Regions from separate parts of the Mus musculus genome. Here all the other regions are reported to be linked to region 1. Evidence: microRNA targets listed by miRTarBase, many of them from high-throughput screens and not tested one by one. Region 1 holds a microRNA gene; each other region holds the end of a gene's coding sequence.

What was found. The annotated mature microRNA mmu-miR-9-5p reads UCUUUGGUUAUCUAGCUGUAUGA and lies in region 1 at 3,042-3,064, opposite strand. An mRNA with a match to its seed (bases 2 to 7 or 8) in the 3' UTR can be bound and repressed. Matches are read on the target gene's strand: a 7mer-m8 pairs with bases 2 to 8, a 7mer-A1 pairs with bases 2 to 7 and ends in A, and an 8mer does both.
Region 2: miRTarBase lists Eml5 as a target of mmu-miR-9-5p. Seed matches in the 3' UTR shown: 7mer-A1 at 4,856-4,862, 7mer-A1 at 2,654-2,660 and 7mer-m8 at 2,548-2,554.
Region 3: miRTarBase lists Vamp3 as a target of mmu-miR-9-5p. Seed matches in the 3' UTR shown: 7mer-m8 at 5,318-5,324.
Region 4: miRTarBase lists Dmtf1 as a target of mmu-miR-9-5p. Seed matches in the 3' UTR shown: 7mer-A1 at 1,265-1,271.

The regions. Positions count from the first base shown.
Region 1 is chr3:88,211,557-88,218,676 of GRCm38, reverse strand. It overlaps Mir9-1 (microRNA 9-1), which reads right to left and starts at 3,079; the gene lies at 2,991-3,079. All of the region lies in intron 2 of Gm3764 (predicted gene 3764), which reads right to left. Mir3093 (microRNA 3093) reads right to left here and starts at 3,506; the gene lies at 3,420-3,506. Gm25641 (predicted gene, 25641) reads left to right here and starts at 3,007; the gene lies at 3,007-3,064.
Region 2 is chr12:98,784,558-98,791,677 of GRCm38, forward strand. It overlaps Eml5 (echinoderm microtubule associated protein like 5), which reads right to left. Exons shown (of 44, transcript NM_001081191.1): 42 at 6,720-6,873; 43 at 6,056-6,156; 44 at 2,047-5,829. The coding sequence ends at 5,793. It overlaps Zc3h14 (zinc finger CCCH type containing 14), which reads left to right. Exons shown (of 17, transcript NM_029334.2): 14 at 359-495; 15 at 761-849; 16 at 1,078-1,184; 17 at 2,018-3,217. The coding sequence ends at 2,024. Among named protein-coding and RNA genes, the nearest start is that of Gm35463, 14 kb to the right of the region's middle.
Region 3 is chr4:151,043,035-151,050,154 of GRCm38, forward strand. It overlaps Vamp3 (vesicle-associated membrane protein 3), which reads right to left. Exons shown (of 5, transcript NM_009498.4): 4 at 6,961-7,012; 5 at 4,271-6,012. The coding sequence ends at 5,996. It overlaps Per3 (period circadian clock 3), which reads right to left and starts at 1,631. Exons shown (of 21, transcript NM_011067.3): 1 at 1,074-1,631; 2 at 525-670. The coding sequence starts at 1,198. It overlaps Gm38529, which reads left to right and starts at 1,819. Exons shown (of 2, transcript XM_017320565.2): 1 at 1,819-1,994.
Region 4 is chr5:9,114,124-9,121,243 of GRCm38, reverse strand. Dmtf1 (cyclin D binding myb-like transcription factor 1) reads left to right here. Exons shown (of 18, transcript NM_011806.3): 16 at 1-159; 17 at 750-894; 18 at 1,106-2,376. The coding sequence ends at 1,215. It overlaps Tmem243 (transmembrane protein 243, mitochondrial), which reads right to left. Exons shown (of 5, transcript NM_001081029.1): 3 at 4,714-4,764; 4 at 3,681-3,785; 5 at 2,261-2,790. The coding sequence ends at 2,668. Among named protein-coding and RNA genes, the nearest start is that of Tmem243, 17 kb to the right of the region's middle.

The sequences.
Region 1 (7,120 bases):
GGAAAGATGCTCAGTGGTTAAGAACACTGGCTGTACTGATCCAGTTTTCAATTCTCAACATCTACAAACATCCGTGACCCCAGTTCTAGGGCGATCCAGCATCCTCTTCTTGCCTTGGAGGGCATTACTATATGGTGCATAGACATATGCAGGCAAAACACACCCGCAGAGACAGACATCTTTGAAACCAGATGTGAAATTGGTTTCCAGTAAGTCTGGTGTGTGTAGCAGACTGAAGAATAGAAATGGCAGTTTTTAAACAAAGGAGACTTCTCAAGTGGACAAAACATGAACTCAGACCAAAGGAGCTCTCCTACACAGTTTAGCTGGGTAGGGAGGGTGCTATATGATATAAAGAGGGGAAGTTCAGCACTTGGGAGGCTGAAGCAGGAGAATTGTCATCAGTTCCACGGAAGCCTGGGCAACACTTTCTAAAAAAAAAAAAGGAGAGATCCATGGAGATATCTCTGGATAAAGGTCTTTGCCACCAAACCTGACATTTGATTTCCATCTCCTGAACCCACAGGGTTAAAGGAGTGAACAGGCTCTCTCATAATTTGTCCTCTGACTTACAAATATATAACCACAGACACAAAATAAATAATTAAAACAAAGGAGAGGAGGGGGAGGAGGACGGGGAGGAGGAGGAGGAGGAGGAGGAGGAGGAGGAGGAGGAGGAGGAGGAGACTTTGGTATCACTGTGATGTCTGCATTTAATAAACCCCAGCTCTTTTCTGTGGTTTTGCCTGGCCACATTCTAGCATCCCCAGTGTCCCAGCTGAGTTTCCTAGCACAGCACACATCCTTATACCAATCCACACAGGCTGCCTCCCTCTCTTCACCCTTAGGCACATGGACTTCACAAAGGGCACCTGCTGCCCTGCTGAGTACCGTACACATACACAGTCAGTGTGCATCTAAAGAAGACATGAACCCTTAGCAGCCTAACCTCCTAGCCTCTATTCCTCCTTTTCCTAAAGCCTTCTACTCTCTTTTGAAGAGCCTGTGATCCAATGTGCTCATGGGAAACAATAATATAAAACTACTGTGGTTAGCAACTGAGACTCTAAGTGTTCCTGGGAATATGTGGTGTGTGTGTGTGTGTGTGTGTGTGTGTGTGTGTGTGTGTGTGTGTGTGTTTAGGGGGACTCTAGGATGCCCAAGAACTTGCTGTGTAGACAAGGATGACTTTGAATTCTTGATCCTTCGTCCTCTACTTTGCAACTGCTCAGATTATAGGCCTGTGCTATGATAGAGGGCTGTGTAGCCCTGGCTGTCCTGGAATTTACAGTGAAGACACTATACAGGAAACATTAAAGATGGTAATGATAAGGAAGCTTATTTTATTGATGCCCCTCCTCTGCCCATGCAAATTCCCAATAACAGAGAGGCTTCCCTTCTTTCTACTTTCCCAGTTGGCTCCCTTGGGGTGGGGAGTGTCACTTTCTCCAAGACAGAGTAAATGGAAGGAGCTTTGAGTGTCAAGCCAGTGAGTAATGTCAGCTGCTCACTTGTGCCTGTGTAACATGGGATCACATGGCATCTCTCAAGCAGCGGAAAAAGAAAACAGGCTGTGGCCAGACCATTAGTTCCAGCCTAGACCCAGCCTCTTTTCTCCTTGACTTAAGCTTCATCCCCACCACCCCTACCAAAACAAAACAAATTCCAAGCTTCTGGAATTTAAGAGGCCACTCGACTCTCCCTCCCCTAACTGCTAAAGAAGACACACACAGGCAATAGATTCCCTGAAGTCCCAGAATTTGAATTTGGATTCTCTAATATTTCCCCCCATGTAATACAAAATTGAATCATTATCTTCTAACTGTAAAATCAGGTCCCGGGAGGAAATTTTAAATTTATAAGAACCAGCGGAGTCTGGGTGATGACATTTTGCCCAGTTTTCTGCCTCTTATTAGTCGGTACAGCCCAGGTCTCCAAGTGCCAGCTGGTCAAGTTCGGCTGAGGGCCATGAGAGCAGAGGGGATTCCTAGCTCTGGCCATGTTTGTTAGACCATCTTCTCAGCTGTAGAAACCCTCTTTCACTAAAATATTTAGGTCAGGCAAGATAAATAGATTCTTTTTACAGGAGCCCAAATTAATCTCTCTAATTCTTTGCGTTCTCTGGGCAGCACAGCTACACATTCCTTTGTGTTTGAGCTCCACAGAGCTCCTTGAGGCCATTTGTTCCTTTGGGACACGATTTCCAAGAGTGAGGTTAGGACCGAAAGGTGGGATGCTCTAAAGCCCCCCACCCCAACTCTACACCTTTAGCCACTAATGACAAAGCAGCCAGAGAGAGTTCAGTTAGACTTAGCTCTGGTCCTGAAGGCCAAAGTGAAAGCAAAGAACCTGCGCCCCAGGGTCCCAGAATTCCTGTGGGGTAAAAAGGTCTCTGGCCACTCTGGCCCTTGCCCTTGTGGTTACTTTGTTTCTGCATCGCCATTCTCCCTAATAAGTTCGATGTGTGTGTTGGTTTTTAAGCCTTCCCCGCTCCTAGACCTGTTCCCACCTGGGCAATCTTGACTCCCAGTAAAGCTGAAGGGCTTCAGGGAAACCACCAAAGCAAAAACCAGCTTTCTAGAGACATCCTACGAACCTCGAACTCCACCAGTCGCTTCGAAGAGCCAGAGGGAAGCTGCTCACACCAGCCACCCGCTCCCGGGATGCGTCGAGACCGGGAGAGGGATGCTTGCACTTTCCCCCCAACCCTTCAGCCAAGGGCTCTGTCTCTCCCGGGAGCGGCTTCTCCGGACTGAGGCCCAGACTGCTCCATTTTGACCAGGCCTCCAGAGGCGACCCCAGAGCGGCTTCTTGCTTTCTTCCCAGGTGAGCAGGTTGCGGGTGGGGATCGCGAGGTGGCTCGGGCTGAGCAACCTTTGAAGGCGACGAGTCCCCCTCCCCCCAGCCCTCCAGCCTCCAGGCACGCCTGGCACGGCTCTCCCTCCTGCAGCTCGGCCACTACCAGCGTTCCAGGCCCTCTGCGCAGTGTATGGGGTTATTTTTACTTTCGGTTATCTAGCTTTATGAAGACTCCACACCACTCATACAGCTAGATAACCAAAGATAACAACCAACCCCGCCTCCTGGCCGCCTCCTCCTCTTCCACGCAGCCTCCCGGCCACCGCCTGGACCTCCGTAGTCTCGAGTCGCTCGACGGCGGATGGGGGACGCGCGTGGTGTGGAGGCGAAAAGATGGGATCCAGGACCTCACGCACTATCACGACGAGACCTCAGAAAGGCGAGGAAAAGATGCTACCGCCGACGGTTCTGAGGTCGGGAATCTAGGCTGAAACCAAGCGGCCCCAAGCCTGACCGCCCATTTCCCACTCCCTCCTCCGTGCAGAAGCAGGGTTCCGCCGGTGCTAGTGGAAAGGCTCCAGGGCCTTCGTGCCATCCGGGAAGACCGCAGAAGCCTAGGCCGAGGCCTCCCCAACCTCCCACGGTGTCCACACCCTTCTCTGGAAGGTCGAGTGTGAGCTCCGCGGGGTGCGGCAGAGCCGAGCTCGCAGAGCTGCTCCGAGCTACCGACTGCAGGGGAGCGGCCGCGAAGCCCCGGACGGGAACCCCAGCACTGGGGAACCCCGAGGCCCAGAGGGAAGCCTGTGGCTGGCGGCGGGGTGGAGGGTGATCTAGAGACTCCCCAGCGACTCTCCCAAGGGCAAAGACCCCACCCAGAGAGAATCGGGCGAGCAGTCAGGACGTGGGGCTGCGGGTTAGGGCAAAGGGTGACCAGGCAGGTGCTCCGAGCCCTGGACCTACGGAACCGCGCGGGAGCCGGTTTTGTGCAAAACGCAGCCGAAATCATTCAGAGATGTGAAATATGCCACTGGGGGTCTGAGTGAGAGATGCCCTTAGTGGCTGGAGGGGGCTATCTGGACTGAACCCACTGGAAGGAGGTCCAGGGACCGTGCAGAGGGTGTAGAGCTCCGTGGTCGCAGGTGGCGGACGCGCGCGCTGGACTCTGAGGCGCTTTCCCCACCTCGTGCCCCACGCGGGTCAGGCCACTTACATCAAACCCAGGATGCCCAGTGGTAGTGTCCTGCGCGGTCTTCAGGCGCGTTCCTACCCAGGCAGCGCCACGGACGTGGGTCAAGGATGCCGGGGCTTGCCAGGTAATGGGGCCGAGCGAGAGCCAGCAGGGTGGAGCAGGGTCTCGAGTCCCAGCTCTCTCCTCAGCCTTGGCCGCTGCTCTGGCGGGGGCGCTCTCAGGCTCCGGACTTTTCATTCATCCCTTCACACTCCTTCCTCAGGTCAGCCCCTGATTGGCTATACCTGGTCTGACGTCACTGTCTCGTTTCTTCCCCCCCTCCCCCCCAGCCTTTCCATGCCCGACCCCCTCCCTCCCCAGGCCAGTCCAAGACGTGCAATTGGGGTGCCCCTCCCCCAGAGAATGGGATCCAATGTCTTTATGCCAATCCTTAGTCTTTTGCTGCCTCATCTACAACCCGCCTGCCACGTCTATAATCCATTGCCAATTGCGGTTCTGATGGCCACCTTCGCTCTTCTTGTCGATCTTACATTTTCCTTTTGGGCTCTACGGTACATTGCACCAAGACCAGCACGCAAAAATAGAAAATAAATAGGGCAAAATTCCCTCAAAGAGAAGAGATCTGTAATCTCAGCACCAGGAGGTTGAGGCAGGGATGCGGACTGGAGACTCTATCTCTGACCCCCTCCCACCTCACCCCACCGTTAGAGTCTTTTTGAGTTCTAATTCCTCCCAAACTGTGATCCTAATATTTAGGAGAGGCAAGGGTCTCTTTTGTTCAAGGTTTTCAACTCAAACCCTCACTGAAGGGAAGACTGTGCAGTTTGAGTCTCCTGCTATGAGACAATGGGCGAGCAAAGGGGGCCCTCTTTTCTGCATTTCAGGGGAATGTTCCTTGACCCTATCTGCAGATAACCACAGAATCCTAGCTGCTTTTGAGACTCAGAATTTGGCCAAGTCCTGGAGACCTTTAATAGGTCTTTCCCTCTACCCATGTTCCTCCAGGCTCCCAGGCATGCAGTGCCAGCTCTGGGTTCGGTTCCCCAAGGAAGATGCCTTTCAGGCAAAGCTCTGTCCCCGTCCTCAACTTCCTCCACCTGGCTCTCAATCCAGTCCAGCCAGAAAGGTCCTTTTCTCCACCAAAGAAGCAGAAGCAGAAAAGCACCGGGGAGTAGCCAGTTGCTGTTGGGCAACATCTGGGTTCTAGGTACATCGAAATTCTCAGAGCAACCATGGGCCCCAGGAGCTGCTCTGTGTGCCAGTGAGCGGTCCCTTCATCCTCCTACTTATCCTCTGCTGGGTCCCTTCTATAAAACTGGCTGAGATGCCTAAATCCTGCTGGTCAGATTAAACCAGCCAGTTCCTGTAACCAGGGACCCCTAAACACGGAGTCACCAGCAGTCCATTTAGGGGACTATCACTTTAACCATTGGGTCTGTCTATCTGCTAGTCCCATGAATAGCCCAAAACAAAGCCAGACCTGTGGACTGCTTATCTTGCTTAGATGGAAGGTGGTGGCTAATAGGTTTAACTTAGTGCTTCTCACCCAAAACGGAGTATGTCTGAATGTTCATTGCTATTAATGCTGGCTGCATGGCTGTGGGTGGGGCCAGCTTGAGATGAGATAAAACCCACAAGATGTTTCCCTACCAGAAGGATGATAGCAAGCAAATAGCCTTATCTCTCCATGTCTTGGGGCATTCTCAGGACCAGGTTTAGCCAGAATTTATTTATTTATTTACTTATTTATTTATTTATCTGTCTATTTATTTATTTATTTTGAATCTCCCTCTCTTTTCTTTTTTTCTTTTCTTTCTTTTATTTTCTTTTCAAACCTCTATGTTGTTTTTTTCTCTCTATGTTGTTTTAATGCTCTTTTCTGAGAGAGGCTTGTTAATTAATTTAAGTACTGAGGGTTAAGCCCAGGGCCTCTTATAGGCCAGGCAAGCCCCACTACCCCAGACCTCTTTTACTGCCCCTAAGCCCTACCTCTTTCACTTTTTATTCTGTGACAGTCTCGCTAAGCTGCTCAGGCTAGCCTTGAACTTATTTTAGCACAGACCAGCTTTGAAATTTTGATCTTCTTGCCTCCAGCCTCCCAAGTGCTGAGATTACAAGCCTGTATGCACCACCAAAACCAGCTGGGGGAGAGGTGTTCTAGAAGCTTTGGCAGCTTGGATGATTTGCCAGAACTAAGCCATGTCCAATGGTGGGGCAGAGAAAAGGGCACACCCTAAACTGTCTCCTTCACTCCCCTACAGCTCAGAATGGTGTGCCCAGAGGGCTTGGGAGCTCCTGGAGCTCCAGTACACCTGCAGAAAAAGGGGTTTCTTCCCCCCAAATGTTCTCTAGGCAACTTTCCCTCTGGGCATGGTGCTAAATACAATTCCTAGATCAACCCTGGTAAAGCCCTTGACTACATTTCTCCACCATGCCTACAAGCCTGTGACCCGTTCTCTGCATGCTCCCTCATGCCCTTCATGCCACCTTGTGCCCTTTCAAGGATGCCTGACATACATGTGACATGCACACTAAACTCCTCCCCACATGCTGACCTAGCTTCCTAAGAGCATTGGTTTGCTCTTCCCACAAAACTGCTTTCAAACCCCTGAAGTACCTTTGTCCTCTCCTCCCTTCCCAACACCAAAAAGTTTGGAGGTCAGAGCCAGCCTTGGAAAAGAGAGCCCTAGCTGCTAGTAAGATGTTTCCCTTCCGTCTCACCAAGTTTTACCATTCCCAGCCCTCTACAGGAACCCCCTGCCCTGGAGTCCTGCAAGCCTTGAGGTAGGAGGCAGCTGAGCCAGTCAAACTTTTCCTCTCAGGCACTGCTGTATTTTTGTTGGGAAGGAGAGAATACACAAAGATTTCCTTGTCCGATGTACACTCCCACCCCATATTCCTAATGGCCAAATTCAGGCTCAACTGGACTTTCTCAAAAATTAACCTTAAGGAAGAAATGAACACACTTTGCTGGGTGCTAAAAAATTGTTCCCCACACAGCAGATACAGAATAAAGTCCTGCCACCTTTTATATTGAATTTGAGCTTTTTAGGGGCAGTTCAGTTTAACAGCATCCAAATCAAGAAGATAACCCACAAAAGAACAGCCCACTGCATGTTAGAATGCCCTCCT
Region 2 (7,120 bases), not on the chromosome of region 1:
GCCAGAGCTTCATGTTTATCAGGGAAGTACTCCATGGAACAGTGTTCCTAGTCCATTATTACTGTGTATGTGAGACAGGCAGACTAGATATCACATGTGTGCAGGTGCCTCCAGGGGCCAGAAGAGGGCATTGAATCCCCTGAAGCTGGAGGTCCAGGCCTCCAGCTACCCAGTGTTGGTACTGGGACCTGAACTCAGGTCCTTTAGAAGAGCAGCAGGCGCTTGAAAAACCTGAGCTATCTTTCCAGCCGGGCATGGTGTTTGTGAAGTCCCTCTAAAAAGAACCCCCCCACCCCCCCCAAAAAACCCTAAGTCATTGAGATGTTAAATATAAATAATAATTGTTTTTGTTTTATAGAGCCTTTCCCAACTGTAAATTTGCTGAGAAATGTTTGTTTGTGCATCCAAATTGTAAATATGACACAAAGTGTACTAAAGCAGATTGTCCCTTCACTCACATGAGTAGAAGAGCCTCGATACTGACTCCAAAACCAGGTTAGTAACTTTGTGCAGTTATAGTCAGGTCAAAAAGAAGAAAACGACATTTTCTGGCTCTAAGTGATAGGAAACAACAAAAGAATAGTTTTAGAAATGATTTTAGTATTTAAAGAACAAATCTGCCTTTCTTACAGAACTCTGCTATATTTTATCTTGACTGATAAAACTTGTTCTAAATTAAATGATACTAACCTTACCAGTAACTGCATTAAAAGATGTTGTTGCCAAAATAGATTTGAGCATTGTTCACTCTGATTGTCAGTGTCGTCACCAGCACCGTCTTCTAATGGCCAGCTCTGCCGTTACTTCCCTGCTTGTAAGAAAATGGAATGTCCCTTCTACCACCCAAAAGTAAGAAGTTTTATTTTCTAAAAAATGGTTTTAGTGGTAATCTCTCATTCTGAAGTTTGGGTTTCATTTTTGTGTACGTTTTATTTTAAATTCCGTGTATGTCTGGTTTTGTGTGTATTTTCTAAGGCTTTCAGTGGTGTTACTGTGGAGTGTTAGCGTTAGAGTGAGGTGCGCAGTTCCTGTATTAGCTTGAAGATTTTAAGGTTTGCTCCTCTCGTTTCTGTTCAGCACTGTAGGTTTAACACTCAGTGTACGAGACCTGACTGCACATTTTATCACCCCACCATTACTGTGCCACCAAGACACGCCTTGAAATGGATTCGACCTCAGAGCAGGTGAGGGTTTAAGTTCGTTCTTTAAACGCTGACGCCATTTAGAATTACATCTTACTGTCTGTGTTCTTCAGTTGTATAGGCACACAAACTGAGGGACAATGAGTTTTATTTCTTCCCCTGTTCCTTTAAAATTAATTTTAAAAGAATTCCTTAGCAAAAATGATTTACTACATGAACCAAATTTATCCAGTGATGACTTTTTTTTTAGTCTACATCATCTCCAGATGGGTTCTTTTTTTTTTTTTTTTTTTGTGGCGCTAATTATTGAATCCAGAGCCTAATGCATAATAGGTACCCAGTGAGCTCCACCCTTCAGCCTTTCTAAAACTTGTGAGCATACACAGTAAAGATGCAACACCAAGGCCAGCAGACTGGTCTGTGTGGATGTATTATACACACTGATCAGCAGTCTCAAAGCAGGGATGGGGGGGAGACTGCTTGGTCTCTAAAGTGCTTATTACCTCACAAGCTTGACAATCTGAAATTTGATTCCCAGAATCCATGTAAAAATGTGGGACATCTTAGTATGTAGAGCTGGGAAGGCAGTCCAGCCTACTTGATGGGTTCCAGGCCATTGAGAGTCCCTGAATTTGAAAGGGTGTAGGTAGTGTGACATTTGAGGTTGACCTCTGGGTGCCACATGTGTGCTCACACATACATAAAAAAACAAAAGGAATTCCACATCAGTTTCCTTAGACTGAAGTTTCACAATATTTTACTGTGGCCTAGAAGTTAAACTGCATAATTGAATTATTTAAAGACAAAACTTTTTAGCTAATGTATATGGTATTTATATGCAAAGCAGTTAACGTAAAAATTTTGGTTTTATCCAGTGAGTGATGCCCTAGTCCTACCTGGCAGAAGATCATGCAGTTTGAAAGCTTCCATCTTCTGATGAGAGATGTTCTACAGAACTTGTCACGTCTTTGAAATTTAGAATATATTGCTTTCATAATACGAATTTTACTGCCCCACTGAAGTGTCTAATTTTTCAAGTTTGTAAGTTTATTAAGTGGTTTCAACATTTTTTGTTTGTTCGTTTTGACTATGAAAAAGACAGTTTAAAGAAAAGCCAAATTCTATTAAAACATTTGCGGCATGTTTGTACATTGCTGTTTAATATCATTTTTGGTAATGGTACTTGCAGCTTAGGGCTGTAGTGCTGTGGGAAGGCCAGTGTCCTCAGAGCTGAAGCACTTTTCAGCTTTTCCCAAAGGTAATGCAGTGTCTGTAACCCAGCGTGGTAACAGTGGCCAGGCTTTGAAACTGAGGCAGCTTTGGAACAACTAGTTTAAATTTCTTTTTTTAGTGTCTAAATGAATTTGCTCTGAGAAGCATAATGCAGACTTTATTTTGAGTGCTACTTTGGTAGAGTGGACCGAGGTCCTGTGCCTTTCTGAAAGTGAGCAGAGACATGGTCATAAAGGGTAAGCATAGTTGGAATGACGATGTAAAAATATATGGACAGTTCTTTGGAATGCTCCCATTTACTATTAGCTTATCATTTTATAAGTAATTTTGGAGGGACTACATTATCACAAAAGTATACAAAAATTTTTACAGGCATATGTACAGAAAGTATCAGAAAACAGACTTTGAACTCACAAGAATATAAATATACGTATATATTCCCATATTCTGAAAAATATCATCAGAAATAACCCCACAGAAAATATACTTATGTTATTACTAAAGATCATTCTTGAAATGTAGAAGTTGAGATTTAAGTGGTATATTTTAAATGACAGAACTATATTGCAGAGATAGGAAGGTAAACTTGACAATAGGATGAAACTTGGCCTACTGTACTATGGAGTTTTATGTGTGGTTTTTGAAACTGTTAAGGCAAGATGTGTCATGTTTTAGAACTAAATAACAGACAACTGATTTCAAAAACGTGTTGTTTTAAAAATTAAAGTGTAAACGGTGGTTAGCAAAGGGGATAATAAAAGCTCAAACATTTTGAGGACCAAATTTAACTGTTAAGATACAATAAAGTCACATCTATAAAAGTCTGTGTTTAATAATGTGAAGCCAGCCTTCTACTGTGGTCATTGCCTTTCCATTGAAAGATAACAGAATTAGCTAGTTATTCAGCCATTTGATAAATTGGCCTTGACCATGCTAACCCCAGAGGGTAAAGATCAGAAACAGCAAGAGAACAAAGGAGACCAGGGCCTAACGCTGTCTGCTGCACAGGTTCAGGTGAAATGGCAATTCTTCATACAGTGAGGACACTGAATTTAAGGGTTCAGCTTTGGAACTAGGCCATTACCACTTTGTAAAAAAATACGTGTAGATGTCTGTCTTCTCATAATTGTCTAGTAAAGGACCAGAAACCGGGAACAAGGGCTTAGATGGTTTAGCTTTTTATAAGGAAATGACATGTGACAATCTAATTGTTTTCTGTTACTGAACGGTGACTAGAAACACATTTTAAAACGTTTGGGTTTTTTTTTTTTTTCATGTACTGCAGGCTGGCCTCAAATTCACTATGTAGCTAAGAATGATTTTGGATTTCTGATTCTGTGCTTGCACTTGGGATTGTAGGCATGCCTCATTTCTATGTAGTGCTAGAGGTTAAATCCAGGGCTTTACAAATGCAAGATAAGCACTGAGCTGTATGTGTGTGTCCTAGCCCTACATTTAAATGGTTTATTGTTTAATTCTACAAGTTATAGACAAGCTTACTCTAAACCTAAAGCAATTACTGACTACTTGTTTTAAATGAAACACCCTAAGGAGTCACCCAGAGAAGAAGTAGGCATGATGGCTGGTAATGGAGAGCACTGGAGTGGACTGTGTGCTTTGGCATGCATTTACGTAGGAAACAAGTGGGACCACAGTAGCTGGTGGCAGTCTTGGGCTATTAATTCATATACTGCAGGCACACACTGTAGTTTTCTGGGTTTAAAAACTAAAGGGCAGGTTCTCTGATTCATTACCTTTTTCACAGTTGGTGGCCATATGATGACTACTCAAGAGTTAGCCTGATCCCTGGTCTTTAGTCACAGAACTGACCAGTGCAGTGACAAAGACTTGACTTACCAGGCTGGCCACTCTGAAGGACAAAAATAGTAGAAGCAGTTTTTACTTTATGGTTTACTTGCTTAACATTACAGAATTTACAGAATTAAAAATATTCTGTAACTAAAAGCCAGCAAATTGTCCAGAGGGGAAAACCTTAGAACTATATATATCATGCTTAAATTTGAAGTATTTTCCTTTTTATAGGAATTCTTTAATATATTGACTACCATTTTATGTAATACCAGTTTAGATGGACCATTCAGTATGAGCATTAGAAACGTTATCTTAAGCTTTAAGTTTCTTGCAATCTCCTCATCAGCTTTAAAACTGACCATGCTCCAAGCACTGCTTAGACAAAACTTCCTTGATGCGATGTGTTCATTTCTGGTTTTAATAGTCACAATATTTTTAGCCATAGAAAACATATCAAACCAAACAGGGTTCCAGAAGCCTGAGGGGTTGGAGTCTACTGCTACAACAATAACTCACACAGTGAAATAAAAGTGGAAACAACCAGTAGAGCATCCTCAGTGTCTTCACACGTAGAAAAATAAATTTTTATGCAGCAGTCTACTGGACTTTTCATCTTGAGGAAACTTTAGTGAGGCTAAAACAGCAAAGTCTTAGACAGGAAGTCCCAGTCTTTGGCAGCATTGAGTGGAAGGACTCTGAGCTCTTCAGATGAACCTGGAGTCAGTCATTTTGGAAAATAGCCTTATAGGGTGGCATACATCTAATTAATTAAATTATTTTTCTCAATACAAAACTATAAAACTTTATGCCCAGGTTTATTAGTATATGAATTTAATGCTTGTGTTTACACAATAAACAAATGTTTATTAGTTAGATCATACCTTTAAATATGCAGTATTATCTTTCAGTTAAGTGCTCTGGCTATCACAGAACCTTAAGAAAACTTGGAAATGAAGTTCACTGTATTATTTTCCTATTAATGAGGCCATAATTGTGATTCATAATTTTATAGAGATGGCTTCTAAACACAGCTCAAAATGAAAATATAGTAGCCATGTACTGCTGACTCTGGATCTATCCTTAGTTCAGGCTGTAACATGGCCTTTGCAGAGGGTACTTTATTAATGTAAGTTCCCTTACGAAAAATCTTTGCATTTTTGAAAACAGATTCGGGTGATGGTTGGCCATTCCTTTCCTTGTATAAGGGTGAAATATTTCATCGAACAAACCTTAAGGAGAAACGTTAGAAATGAGATGAAGTTGGTTTGTTTTGTTTTTCAGACTGCTATACCCTAAAAATCTCCTGGGCAAGTCTGCCAAAATTCCACACTCCTCAATAAGAGGAGGAGGTTGGCTTTTACCCAATACTCAGTCATTTCTTGCAATGTAATTATCTGGCAGTGTGTGGACGATAGGTCGGTACATACAGCAGGCATTTTAAACCGTCTGTCTGTCTGTGTGCTGCAGTGTGGATGATTCTGCACATCCCTCCCCGTCACAGTCCTCAGTTAGCACCACTTGACCATGCAGTTTGGTTTTGGTTTTTCCAACGTGGAACTGGTCTCTTGAGGTGAGATTTGTTTAGTCTTCTCAGCATCATACCTTTCAGTGAGGCATGTGTACACATTTCCAGACAAACAAACTGCAATCAGAAAAAAGTGACAAGGAGCTTTATCACATTCTAGATTTTCAGAAGAGTTTGCCAGCTACAATAACTCGTTTTGGTGTGTTTTTATGAGGTTAATGGCTTTGAAGTTACTAGTTATCTTCTGATAAATTCTGGCTGTGTTCATTGCCACATCTATCTAGTTACCAAGTCTTCCTAGTGAAAGGTAATCATGCTCTTCCTGGGCCGACCAAGCACTGACCTGCAGTCATCGCCTCCAGCACTGACAACATGCCGATCACCACTGGTAAATCGAATATTTGTCACATGAGGGGAATGACCCAAGAACCTCTTGTGCTTTGCCTGAAATGGAAACAAAGCCCCCTCAGCAGTGATCTACACAAAGGTTCCAGTAACAAAGCACAATTCATCATTAGAGCAGGGATTCTTGTAAAAGTTTACAGGTCTGCGTACAACAAACTAGGTCATTTAGGCAGTCATATTTTTTTCTCTGAAGAACGGGGAGGGGCTGGAATCTGCTATTAATCATTGTAGATTTGATTCATAAAAGCTCATCAGAACTTTCCTACGAGTTTCCAAAGACTATGGGGATGGTTTGGGTTTTTTTGAGACAAAACATAGGCTATCCTTGAATTTAGAAATCTATCTGCCTGCCTCTGCCCCTCTGCCTCACATCTGCTGTGCTGGAATCAAAGGTGGACACCACCGCACCTAGCATGAAAGGTCTGTTTCTAGGAAATGTTACTTTGGCTATTGAAAGTTTGAGGAAACTCTTAGAAATAAAAATTCCAGGATTTTCATGTTAGAACTGCAACGTTCTAAAATATGTGGGAGGGGGGGGGCGGGGGGGAGGGTGACTCATCTAAGATTCAACTAAAGTAATACAAAATGCTACACAGACTTACAAATTTTTCTGGGCATGGAAAGTCATATAATTTAACCATGCCAAAGTCATCTCCTGTCACAAGGCTGATTCCTGAGTGAGACACACAGGCACAGGTGACATCCGCCTTCTCAGCATGTCTGGACCAGATTCCCATAACTTCATCTCCTAGAATACTAGATAGAGGGAAAGCAAATGTACCACAGATAGTTCTGTTTAATGATTAAGATGGCTGTGCTGTATCTATCGCCTCTGCCTCCCAAGTGCTGGGTTAAAGATGTGCATTGCCGTTGACAGTTTAGGAAAGTGCCTGAAATCTTCAAGGTCATTATACAAGTTCTTCTCAAGAACTTGTTGAGCCATGGAAACTGATAAAGTGTAGGACAGTGTTGAATCAAAAAGGGTCCCAGAATCAGCATGCCA
Region 3 (7,120 bases), not on the chromosome of region 1:
CACTAGAAGTTCTAAAGCTAGTTAATAAAATCAAAGTCCAGATACACACATATATTTTTTTAATGGAGGAAACACTAGAATTCACAAACTATTGATCACAGACTGAGCAAAGCGGTTTCTGCTGGGGGAAGGAAAAACATTTGTTCTTTGATTTAGTCTATTTTGTATATACTACAACTGCATTTCCAAAGTGTGTGCATGACAGAAAAAAACAACCCAGACATGTATTTGCTCGTGTAATCTCCATGGAAGGCAATGCTCCTTGAAAAAGTCCTCTGAGTTTTACTTAAACTGCTCAACTCTTTACTCTTGCAACAGATAGGCACAATATTGCACAGTTACTAAACTGTCAGACAAATAACGTTCTGCTGGCTTTTCAAACTTGGAAAGCCTAAAGCACCACTTACATCAGCTTTAGACTTGCTTGTCTTGGCTACAAATAAAGCCCAAGCCTCTGGAGGCTGGAGTTCCACTGCACATGAGGACTGAGCCCAGCGCCACCCTATTCGCTGCAATGCATTTACCTTGCACACTGTGTACACAGCGCAGGGCATAGTTAAGAGCATCTAGGGTACTGGGCTTAGTGTGCCTCTCGGCTGGGAAATACTTTTTCATTTCTTGGACAACCATTATAAGCTCTTCAGACATTCTGTTTCGGTCTTCGTGTTCACTGAATAGGAAAAAAACAAACAAGAAACCGTAATGGTGGACACTCAAGGAATATCTGATTTTTAGGGATGTCTGGCCACCTCAACTAGCCCAGGTCACAGGTTTAATGCCCTTTCTCTTCCAGGTAGGGGACATTCTACACTTTCATTCTCCCTTCAGTCCCAACTCCGTCAAATTCTTTAACCACTTTCCTCTTTCTTTCCGTACTCTGGTAATTTAGTTTAGTAACATTCCCCCTCCCATCAATCCTCACCGAACTATTTGGAAGTTCCCTTTCAGGTCGCCTCCCCCCCCTACCGCGTCCCCGGGATCAAAAATACAATAAAAAGTTGTAAATCCTGCTTTCCCTGCTCCAGGGAAGGACAATAAACACAGAGGGTGGTGGGGAGACTTCCTAGCGTCACCTGTGGCTGCTGTCCACGCAAGTGCCCTGCAGAGGACCCTCCTGGCCAGACGCCCCCTGGAGCCCCGGTCCCCTAGTCTGGGGACAGTCGCCACCAGGTACTGCCGGGTCTCCACAGGGATCCATCCCGCCTGGCAGCCCTCAGCCTGCTTCTCTCAGTTTGCAGCTAGCAACCAAACCCGGCTTGTTTTGGTCCCTGCCATCGCCTTCGGGAAAGACTGGTCGCCGACCACGCTCATCTGAGGGGCACTTTTCTCCTCAGCATTTCCACAGACTCTGCTGGGGTGACGAGCTACAGCGACAGCTCGATGGCGGAAGCTGGCTGGACGGACCACCAGCGGGGCTCTCAGGGAGCGCGGTCAGCCTGCAACAACTTTTCCACCGTCCTTGCTGGGAAGCCGGCGAGCATCGAGAAACACCTCAGAGAGCAACGTCCGGCGTGACCGGGCAGAAGGCAGGGGCAGCAGCGCCCGGCCGTGCGGGCTCGCAGGCGTCCCGCCAGCCGAGCAACTCGCCGCCGCCCCGCAGAGCCTCGCCCACCCGCGGGCAGTCCAGTCTCGAGGCCGTCCGCGTGCCCAGTGGCCGCCGGCCCCGCCCCCTGCGCGCCAGGGATCCGGTCCCGCCCCTTCGCCGCGCGATTGGTCGCTGTTACCGGCAACACGAGCTCCCATTGGTCAGAGGGCGGGGTGCAGGTCGTGCACGGCGGGGGTTACATAACCGCGGGCGGGTGGGCGGGTGCAAAGGCCCCCGAGTACCTTACATAACGCGCGGGTCGGGCGAGGGCGGCTCTCGGCCAATCCTGGCCAAGTGGAGTGGCCTGGAAGACAACAGGGCCGGGCCGCGCAAGTCTACTGCCGGGCTTCCCGGAGGCGTGGCCTTGGGGCTGTCAGTCACGGGAGGGCGGGGTCCGCGCAGCCAACAGGTAAGTGGACCCGGTGGCGCTTGTGAGTCCGCAGGCCTCTGGGGCTCCCCGGTATCCCAGGAATGCAGTGCTTTGGGGTTCCCATTGTTTTCATCTTTCCAAAACTTGCTGCTTTCTCCCACCCGCCAATATAGGTGAGTGAACCCAGGTAGAATCCAACCGTATTTTCAGAAATACAAGTTTAATGGTACAAGGTAAGGTCCTTGGCTGCCCTCGAGTTACAGGTTCATTTGGCAACAGGAGTTAGATAGTATTGTAAGCGACGCTCTGTTTTCGAGGAAACAGCCAGGATGCTCCTTTTACATAACTGTCTCTACCCTTCAGAAACGAAAGGTACAGGGCAGAGCTCCAGCCTTCTGCTGCCTGGGTACATCAAGAACACACTCGGTAGTGGGTGGAGAGATGGCACAGCACTTGAGAGTTAAGCACCTACTGCTCTTCCTTTGGATGGTTCCCAGGCATCTTCTATCAGTGTCTCACAAAGTGCCTGTAATTCCAGTTATAGGAGATCCAATGCCCTCATCCATCAAGACACCTGCACAGTGAGCATACGCTATCCAGACATACACCACATAAATAATAAGATCTTTAAAAAAATACACTAAGTATTTGTTGGATGAATGAAAGTGTTCAGGCCAAAGGAGAAGGGGAAAATGCCAGAGAGCAAGTATCCACATTTCATATTGGGCAAATGACCGATTTTTAAAAAAAGTCTTTCTCCACACTGGATTACTCTACTCCTGAGTTCTTCAAGAAACATTCATTGTACGACCATTGGGTGCACATGTGGGCAGGGATTATTGTACTGAGGACAGAACCAAATTCTCTCATACTCAACATACAACACATGGATGATGCCTCAAAGTCAAGAAAGCCTAAGATGCTGGTAGGACATAAACTGGTAGGAATGGGAAGGACAGAGGAAGGAGGCAAGAGCCCCAGGGAACAGGCTGGAGGGTAAGGGAGGGCCGCTGAGAAGGGGAACTGAATCTGAGTGATCCTTTGGGGTGGGGGAAATGGGTGGGCTAACAGAACTGAAAAGCACTGTCCCTTTCAGGCCATCCTTGTGAAGTACAGGTTAGTCATTAAGAACCTGAAGCGAGGGCTAGAAAGACGGCTCAGTGCTTAAGAGCACTGACTGCTCTTCTGAAGGTCCCAAGTTCAAATCCCAGCAATCACATGGTGGCTCACAACAATCAATAATGAGATCTGATGCTCTTCTGGTGTGTCTGAAGACAGCTACAGTTACTTAGATATAATAATAATAAATAAATCTAAAAAAAAAAAAAGAACCTGAAGCAATGGGAGAAAGGAAGGGCCAGATTGTGATGGGGTTTGTGCTTAAGGAAAAGTATTTAGACTTTTATGTTGTAAACATAGACAAAATCCTACCCGGTCTATATTACATTGTTTGCAAGAGTGGGGGAATGAGGGGAAATATATTCAAAGGAAGGCAGATTAAAAAAAAAAAAAAGCCACACATTTGGGACATGCCTCCCCTAAGTTTACCTGTGTGGTTGGTAGCTGTGTGGTGTACCAGGGTCAACTCTACAAATCACTTCCAGAAGACACTATTTAAGAAACCCAATAGCCAAATCCTTACTGGTCTGGTAACTGCAAACCAGCTATGGACTCATCTCTGCTCTGAAAAGCACTTTTCATTAAGGTATATGATGGTTAATTCCAGTTGTCGACTCCATTGTATGTGGAATCAACTAAAAGGCAGCCTGCCAGGTATTCCTGATGGGTTTCCCTGCTCGGAGTATGTAAAGTGGGGAAGATAGGAGAAGGAAGCTCTGCTCTTTGCCTGCAAGCCTTCACTCACAGGCGAGTTAATCTACCCTGCTGTTGCTGCACTCTGATGTTATCAGAACTCAGTATGTTTTCATGGGCTTCCACATGGGCTTCCACATGGGCTTAACACCAGAGATTTTCCAGGAGTCCTCCAGGCCCACAGTACCAGATGGAAACTTCTGAGGAACTCAGCCTCATGGACTAAGCAGCTATCAGGTTCTCAGCATCTTCAGTGTGAGGTAGACCATACCACATAATAAAAATCTTTTAAAAATATATGTTCACCTTATTAGTTCTGTTGCTCTAGAGTCCCCTAACACAGGGTGAGATCTACATCTTCTCACAGGAATATGTGCTCCTAGGATAATGAATAAGAAAAAAACATAGTTTGTCAGGGAGGGAGGGGGAGCATCAAGGGTCAGAAGTTTAGGACATGCATCAGGTGTATTCCCAACTCCACTCCAAGAAACACGACACAGGATCATGTTAATAAACAACTTTATTCTGGTCACCATACCGGGAACATTCCCAGCTAAATGCACAGAGAAGCGAGGTATCACTGTGTTAATACAGGAGCCACTGAGTTACATGGGACAGAATATGAGGAGACAGCACCAAAGTTGTGAGGTCAGACCAGGACAGAAGCCCTAGGCTGATGCGGCAAGGCATATCTTCAACATCTGTATTGTTTCAGTAATGTTAGGGGAACAGATAAAAAACTAGAACCAGTTGGGCGTTGGTGGCACACGCCTTTAATCCCTGCACTTGGGAGGCAGAGGCAGGCGGATTTTTGAGTTCGAGCCAGCCTGGTCTACAAAGTGAGTTCCAGGACAGCAAGGGCTATACAGAGAAACCCTGTCTCAAAAAACAAAACAAAAACAAAAAACTAGAACCAGATTCTATGACATCTTGAGTAATGCTGCTTTACACACAAACACAGATTTCAGGACATTCTAGTGGCACTGCCATAGGCAAGCAGCTTTCCCTTCACCACTTCCTCAATTCCACCCATGCCTGAACTCCTGTCTTTGAACCAAGCCTTGATGAAAGTCTCATATAAACAATGAAACTGTCCCAGACAGCAATGGCTACATTCTAAGAGCACCAGGCATCTCTGGTTAGCTATCCTCTACGAGTGACCGGTGGCTTACCTCAAGCATAAGACAGAGATGAGTACAAGCAGTACACAGTCTTCTGGAACTCTGTGCAGACTGATGCCTTGGTGAGGCTGCACGGCTACTGCTCACATCGCACTAGAGACCACAGCCTAGCTCAGTCTACAAACTGCTGGCTAAGTATCTTGTCTACAGGTGTGATCTGAGCCCACCTCCATAGCTCTAAAGAAGAAACCAAATCAGAATGACTAGCCTTCTCTATAGCATTTCACAGGATGGACTGCCGACATGTTGAAGGCTCGCTCTCACAGTATTAACATTTTTCTTAAAGGACACCTTGAGTTACATTTGGCACTTATTTGAATGTATCTATTGGGGCAATTTATTTGTACTTAACTTTTGGCAAAATAGAAACTTTGGTCATAGTTCTATAAAAACTTCTTAAAGGGTTATTTCTGGTTAAAATACTATTTTAGGAGTGATATACAACAAGAACAAGAAAGTAAACATAGTCATATCTAACATAAGAGCATGAGCTCTTCACCAGCATCTTAAATACAGCGGGAGTCAGTAGTGCTTACAAACGGAGAATAATCTTAAAGAACAGTTTCCTAGCTATCAAAATAAGGCACACCCTGCTATTGTCACCCATTGCTGTTAGGCAGTAGTGTTCTTCTTGGAAGGTCCAAGTTAGGAATCTAATTACCCAAAAGTTTAAAATGTGGTTTTGAAGATGATGTCAGATGTGGGGACAGCTGCCTTGAACAAAACCCCCTTCCTGGAATCCACAACAAGTCATCTTGAGTGACAACATCCACCTCCATTCAGCACTCAGAACTACACAAGTCCTCTTTCCCAGTCCAGAAATCTGTAAAGGCACTGTGCAAAATGTGGGGAGGGTAGGTCACACCTCCAGTTTGGAGTGTATATGAAAAACAAAGGCACATTTTCTAGGCACTAAACTGTATGTAAACTAACAAAAATAATCATTTGGAAAAAAAACAATAGGTAAGCTCGATAACACGGCAGGTTCTAAGTAGAAAGTCTTGAAGAAGATCCTGAATATCGGGCTTCAGTTTCATCGGTTCTTCATTAAGAGACACACCACACTAAGAGGCAGGGAAGATTTAGAAACAATGAAAAGGGCATGTTAGTCTTTGTGTGTGCAAATACTCAGTAGGGATGGACTTCTACTGTCTAAAGAGGGACAGAGAGAAACTGACTTGGCCAGTTTTCCACTGGCAGCTTCTTTACATGCTACAGGGCTCTGGGGAAGACTAAACTCAAAAGTGGAAAAGGAAATACTAACAAGAACTAGCAAAGGAAGGCATGCTTTGCTAGGATGTTCGCATAGACTGGAATGAAAATAAAGTGAGTTCTTCTAATATGCAGTCACAAGAGTGGTGGGAGTAGCTATGTGCTAGCTATATACATTATTTACATAATTACTATTTCTGTTCTCCTATGCCAGGTACTTTCTTATGTAATAACCAGGTTTGTCCTAACAACACAAGGTGGACACCATTACCATCTTCATTTTATTCATGAGGACACTTGAGGTCCAGACAGACCCAACTGCTTGCCCAAAGTCACAGAGCCTTACTACAGGTGGCATAGCTGGGATGGATCAACTCAGCTAATCACTACATTCCACAAAAGGACACAGACTAAAACTGCACAGGAGAGAAAAATTGACCAGACATTAGGAGTGAGATTTGCTATTCTTAAAGGATAAGTGCACCCATCTATCCATCATCCATCTAACAAAACACCAGACTTTAATTACAAAAACTCAAATATTTAGGATCATTTTGGTGGCACAGGCCTATAATCCTAGCGCTTGAAATGTTAAGGCGGAAAGATCACAAGTTCAAGGCCAGCCTGGGTTGAACATCGAGACCCTGCCTCGAGACCCTGCCTCAAACTTCCCGCAATACCATCATCTCAAAACACCCTCAAGTATTTAAAATACTTGATAAAGAACGATATTTAAACCTTGGACTGAATCCACTCTTTGCTGCTGCACAGACGAACGTCTATGACCATGGGTAACTCACCGATGATGATGATGACAATGATCACCAGGACACTGATCCCTATCGCCCACATCTGCAACAAGACAGATCCATTTAACATTGCAAAACAGACAGTGCTCGCCGCAACCGCTACAGTGTGAAATAATTTATATAATTTCTAAAGCCTAAATTTTATATTTTC
Region 4 (7,120 bases), not on the chromosome of region 1:
CAACCATCATTTAATAATGCTCATGTATCTAAATTCAGCGACCAAAATAGCACAGAACTGATGAACAGTGTCATGGTCAGAACAGAGGAAGAAATTGCCGACACTGACCTTAAGCAGGAAGAACCGCCGTCTGACTTAGCCAGTGCTTATGTTACTGAGGTAAGCTCTGAGGAAGACTGCAGCTGGTGTTGCCGTGGGCTTCAGGAGGGCTTTAAAGGAGAGATGCTGTAGGACAGTGGTTCTCAACCTTCCCAACACCAAAACCCTTTAATGCATTTCTCAGCTTATGGTGATGACCAGCCATAAAACTATACGTTTGCTACTGTTAGGAATTGGAATATAAATATCTGATATGCAACCCCAAAGGGGTTGAAGAACAGTTGCTCTAGTACCTTCTTCTTTTCTTTTTACTCACAGAGTTTCAATTCAAAAATTATAAATTAATGTGTTCTTGTTGCTGACAGAAATGAGCAGGCAGAGACACCTGGGCATAGTTCCTTGCTGAAGTGTCCCCTTTTCACAGGCAACAAATTGTTGCCATCAACTCCTGGATCACCTTTGGGTGGTATGGGTAATAGTAGATTTTAGAAATTACATATATCCCACAGTGCAACATAATTCTTTTCTCTAAGGTCTAAACCTTTATGTTCTAATTTTCAGATGGAATATATTTGAGAGCTAAGTACTAACAAACATGGACACTTGGGATGTAAATCAGTTTCTCCTTTTTTTTTTAAAATATCATGTAGGATTTAGAGTCTCCCACCATAGTGCACCAAGTTCATCAGACAATTGATGATGAAACAATACTTATCGTTCCTTCACCTCATGGCTTTATCCAGGCATCTGATGTTATAGATACTGAATCTGTCTTGCCTTTGACAACACTAACAGGTACTCTACTGAGACTTAATCATGAGCCTGATACATAGTAAGGGGATGGGGGGAATCGGGCTGTTGTTTTATGCATCCATGCTAACTTTTCTCTTGATCTATCAGTGTTCTTTTATTGGGTAAATCCTACACTTTGGTAAACTATTGGACTGAATGGAGAATCAGAAACACACATTTAATACTAACTTTATTTAAACTTGACTCATTACAGATCCAATATTCCAGCATCATCAGGAAGCATCAAATATAATTGGATCATCTTTGGGCAGTCCTGTTTCTGAAGACTCAAAGGATGTTGAGGACTTAGTAAACTGTCACTAGATTATTAGAAACAGGTACTTCAAGAAGCCACATTGTGACTACATTGTCTCCAAAGAAAGGAGCCATCCCAGGAGTTGTGGTTTGCCATTCCTCTGGCTTGTACTTAGCTGCCATGCTTAAGCCATGCACATTGTTGCTGCTGTTACTTTTACCTCCTTCTCAGTAGATCATCTGAGGTCCAATTTTATAACAGTTGTTATGATGGAGGATAGGAAGTGTGAATTGCCCAGACTTGTTAGGTTTTATGTCAAGAGGGAGTTGCAGTCACTGCAGCTACTTATATCACCAGAGCTTAACTACTCTGGTTTAAATATAAGTAGTAATACTCATCTCTGCAGTTAGACACAGCTCTGTCCAGACTCAAGCTGGGCTGGTTGTAATTCAGCTTATGTTAGCAGTGACTTTCAGAAAGATTAACTTAGGAGTTGATGACATGACCATGACCAGCATCCAGATACCACATTATGGGGGGTGGTTGTGCTGGTTAACCCATTGCTGGCAGTGGGAGCTGACTGAGGCAGGGTAAAGAAGCAAAGCATTACAGAGTTAAGAAAATTCACTACAGGTCTTTGATTTTTAACTTTTAAAGGGAACGTGGTTAAAGTGGTAACAAAACAGTTATCAACTCTCATCAGAAACCAGTCATTAGTTTACAGCTAGCACTTTGAAGTGAAATTAAATGAGGGGAGAGGTCATATTGCCTGTGTCTGATAACCATGACTTTTTTTATGACATGTTTTACATATAAATTGCCCAGAAGATAGTGAGGGGTATTAATTAGAGTATGCTGTTCACTTCGTGCATTACCTGCTGGGGGTACACTATAGCTTCTCCCTCAGGCACTTTTAAAAAACAAAATTTGCTTCTGTATCAAAAGAAAACAAATCAAGAGTCATTCCTAAGGTAAAGCCAAAACTAGCCTGTAGGGCTTTAATGATATGATCCTTATAGAAAAGTCCAAAAAAAGGAGGAAAAAAAAAGGAAACTTGTATAAATTATTTTATTTATTATTGTAATTAGATCTTCACAATCAAAGCTGTCTTTTCACCATCTGTTTATTAATGTAAAACTGTAGTAATAAGCAAAAGTTGGTTGCCTAGGGGAACAATAATTGTATATTCAGTTTAACAGAAATAAAAGAGTATTTGTCTTAAAATGCAAGATTTTGAGCCATGCAATTAAATTGTTAAAAAAAAAAAAAACAAAAACAAAAAAAAAAAATTCTTTCAAAAGTGAGAATTCCTTGCTATTTGAGGGCTGGAATGTGTGGGCGTTTTAAAGGAGAGCAGAGATCTATGCTGCAGCCCCCTCGCAGGGGGGATTGAGATTTACAGTTAACATGGAAACATCATGTACCACACGTCTGTCGATGAGTCTTCAGCATACTTTTTTGCAGCAGTTAAATTCACATAGATTTCCAAGAGTCCTGGTAAGTATTTCGTCTCTGCAGCCTCACCTTCCCACATCATGGAAGTACAAGTTTGCACATATACATAACATGATGATAGAAAATAAGATATAGTAAATTAGATTTCTAAATTTCGGTTCTAAGTCTCCTTGTCGATACCAGTAGATCTAAAAGAAGAATCAAATACAAATTTAAGTATGACCAGCTGTTACAGTGTAAAATACAACTAATGCTTCTTTCATATGGATAGCATTAGAGATTACTGTCCTGAGATAGTCTTCAGTTTAATCCCCTATGATTCAAGTAGCGCTAATAAGCGTTTCCCTATGTACTCCTGGTTTTGTTATTTACTGGGTTCTAATGTCAAAGTAGTATACTAATCAAGTTAGATGAGAATATATATCTGGATACATTTTTAGTATATTTGAGTTACTAGAAGGGAAGGCACTCAGATTAGGTCTGTTAAGAGGGCTTACGTAAGTAAATACATAGTTTAACTATCTCAACCTTGGTCACTCAGGGCTGTAGAACACACGAGATGAGAAAACTTCAAAGATTCAACCTAGGACTAGTTCTGCTCAAATGTTATGCTTAAAACCTATGTAGGATTGCAACAATTTAGGAATTTTTTTTAAAGAAAAAAAAAACTTGCTTTTTAAAAAATGGTAGGTATTAGAGGTCAAACCTATGGCCCGAGCATATTAGATCACCTCTCCCACTGAACCACAGTGCCACACCAAGGTTTGACTGTTTCCTAAGGTGAAAGCAGACCCAGCAGTTAGCCTAAAAAACAGAGAACCAATCACCATCCTCTGGGGTGGGGGCTGGTTTTGGTACACAAAGGGGTCTCTTTGTTTCCTGACAAATGTGATGTTAATTGTCGATATTCTGGGAAGATCACAAATCAAAGTGGACCCATGTGTAATTATTAGAAGTAAATTGGGGGGGGGTTAGATTAAAGGAGAGATACCCTATTCTATAGACCCAGGGGCTAGCAATCTGTCTAAGCACTACCATGTAAGCGCTTACAAACATTTTAATTCTAAATAGTACTCACAAGTATGCAGGCAGTAATACTACTCAAAGAGATGCAGACAGCAAAAAATATATTCAGTGGTTTGGGAGGTAGTTGAGGGAACACAAAAGCACTGATCAGTGTGACCTGTGTGGAGAGAAACATGTAAGGCCTTGAGTGGGATTCCAAGGTGTGGCTAGACAGGGGCAAGGCAAGGTAGTACTTCTTACATCACAACGTCACCTTCAAGTCAGTTAGCACTTCTGACTAGTCCAGCAAGTGTGAAAGAAGGCCAGACAAGCAACCAACATTAGCAGTGAGTTGCTGTGCTTATCTCAGTATTCTAAATATTCCTACCAGGTAACCAGTGTTCTCTTCAGCAGAACATGCACTGAGACTGGGGCAATGAAGACTTAGGATGGCCCAGCCCAAGGAGGACATGCGAACTCACGAAGCATTCCACTTTATCAAAACTAGCCCAACATGCTACGGCAGCTATTTGTTTTCAGCATTGCCAAGATGCTATGGAAATTAAAAGGGCAAAATTAGAAGGAAAACAGTAACTGAGTATGTGCAAAGCCGGCTTGGCTTAGTTTTATGGAACATGGGTTTCTGAATCCCATTTTGTTTCTAAAGACAAAAAATAAACTAAACAAAGGACAAACTAAGATTTGTTCTCTTGACAAACTTAATCCGTATTTATCAGACTTTAGAAACTAGCTTTTTAGTCTGATAGACCTATATAGAATGTGTATCTAATGTGCTATACAGAATTTTAAAATATCCTATAAGTCTTTTAAAACTTGTTTAGGCATTAAAAGCAAGTTTAAGGCATTAAGAGAAATGGGAGCGGTGGTGACCACTGGTAGAGGACTTGGTTATCACGGTATCACTTGTACAGGTGTACTACTGTGCAGGCAACAATGGCAAGTGCGGTTGACTGATTCACTCTGCCATGACTGTAATAGTCTACACATGTTTGTACCCTCTTTTAAAGTCTTGGGGAGAATTGACACTAAAAGTTCTCAAAACTGGCCAACAGAGCAAATGTGGCAAAACAAACAAAGGTACTTACTAGAATCAACAAGGTGGTTAAGCTGCCAACAACTAAATTGATGATTCGGTCCTGAAAGAGACAACAGTTTGTAAGCCAGATGTCTTGGACTGGGCTGCTGCCAGAATGGAAGATGGAATCTTACAGAATGAAGAGACCAAGAGTTGGCCCTTGACGTCTTCCAAATAAAAAAGCTGTGGTGCTAGGAATGTGGGAATGGCTCTGGAAAGAGAGGGCAACTGAGGAGCGCGTGTGCTATTGGGGATTGCTAGTCCTAACATGGGGAGTAGTGGGGTTGATGCTCAGACCGAGAAATAGGAATGGATGGAAGCGACACAGGAAGTGGCCCTGTCTACCTAAAAATACTTGGTGCTGTTAGAAAGGACCAGAGTGCCATGCTGGAGGGAGACGAAGGCATGTAGTCCAGTGTGTAGTGTAGTCCAGTGGTTTTCTTCTCCAACTTAGTAAAACTTTAGTAATATAAACAAAGAATTATTTGACTGAAGAGTTTTCTTAGGATTTTCATCCCTAATCCAGCCAATTCTTTAAACATACCTAAAGTAGGGGTAACCTAAATTTTACATGTTAAGGTAAACGTGGGCCCAGTGTGTTTTAAAGTACCTTACAAAAATTACAACAAACTCTGAAACCAAGCTTAACAATGTTACAAAGTAATAAGGTTGGCAAGTTATTTATAAGATTACAGAACAGGGGCAAGAGTCGTTGCTCAGTAGTACAGCACTTGCCTGGCCTGCGCAGGACCTAGGTTTGATTTCTCATCACACCCATCCTCAGAGGGGGAAAAATTATATACAACAAGGTTGGGATTTAAGACTTGACTAGGAAACTACTTCAGGGTCACCAAGAATAACTTATTTATGAGAAGCCAAAGCTGAAATCATATTTATGGAGCAGGGGCTGCTGGTCTTCCAGCCACAGCCTTGCACGTGATGCTAGGCAGACTCCATACCACCTTGGCCCTTGAAAGGTTGTTTTAGTATCTACAGAAAGAGGGTATGGAAACAGCAACACACTAAAACTTTTCTTTCAAGTTCTCTATACTTTTGAAAAACACAAGGTGGCAGGCAAAGCTGGGTGTATAGTAGGCTTTGGGTGTGGTGTGCCTGATCTATGCAAGAGCATACCCCAACTTCACTAAGAACTCAACAGGTCGCAACAACACAACCCACCAAAAGTTAAAAGAGACCTGAGAGCAACTTACTACTCGCTTAACTTCCTCCCACACATGCCTACTGTATATGTGTTTATCAGAGTGCAGAAGGATAAAACCTGTACCAGTCTGTGAAACCGTCAACTGAGAATATATGCTCTCAAGAGATTGGAGAAATTTACTATGGGTCTTTGTATCCTAACAGCTCTGTCACTAACAGAGGTATACAAGGTAAATCACAGTTTCCAAATGTCACAGCAGCTTGTCCACCAAAATCAAGAGTAAAGAGGAGAGGGGAAAAAAAAATCAAAACTGACGGAGAGGCAACTGACCAGACATGCTTTCTAAAACTAGGGACGAGGGGGTGGGGAGATGGCTTGCTTAGTAAAGTGCCTTCCACACAAGCCAGGGGACCTGAGTTTGGGCCAGTCCCCAGCATTCACTTAAAAACCTGGACGTGAGGCCTGGAGAGTTGGGCCCAGGTTTGGTTTCCAAGCACGGTCTCAAGCAGCTCACACTTGTAACTCTAGCTCCAGAGGATCTGACACTCTCTCCTGGCCTCTGGTCATACACAGCATACACACACGGTTGTGTTGTGTTTTGTGAAAGCTAGACATAGCAGTGTGCATCGGAGTCCTCCCCTAGAGTTAGATGAGGTGTGGTCTGTAGAGCTCAGTGTCCAGCCAGAGGAGCCGAATGAGAGAACTTATCTCAAAAAATAGATGGAGAATGTTAAGGAAAATGATTGAACATCAACCCCTGACATACATATGTATGTACATATGGATGAAATTGCAGTATGATCTGCACATGGAAAAAGGCTCAGGAAAATCAAAGTGCCTAAGGTCTAAGTAAAAGAAACAAGATTGCCAGGCCTACTCCCCCCATAAAAAGCTGCACATTCCTTGCTAGACAGCATATCCTCAAAGCCACTCCTGCTGTCAGTTGACAGATGGCACCTCACAAAGCCTATTAGCATGCCCTGTTAGCCTATTACGGTAGCATAACTGTTGTGATCATGTAATGAAAGCACACCTAAATAGTCTCCTGCCTGGCTTCTAGATAGTCACTCGACAGTTTCCTTAATCAACAGCTACTCTGCTAAAGTGCAGCAGCTCTCTCCGTTCCTGAGGTAGATGTGGCCGAAATGCTTAGCAGGGTTTGCTTCCTCACAGCCAGTGCCCGGCCCTCAGGTCTCCTGCTTTTGAGTACCGTAAATCCAGGTCAGAAGAGCCAGAGTTCATTAGAAATTTCCCA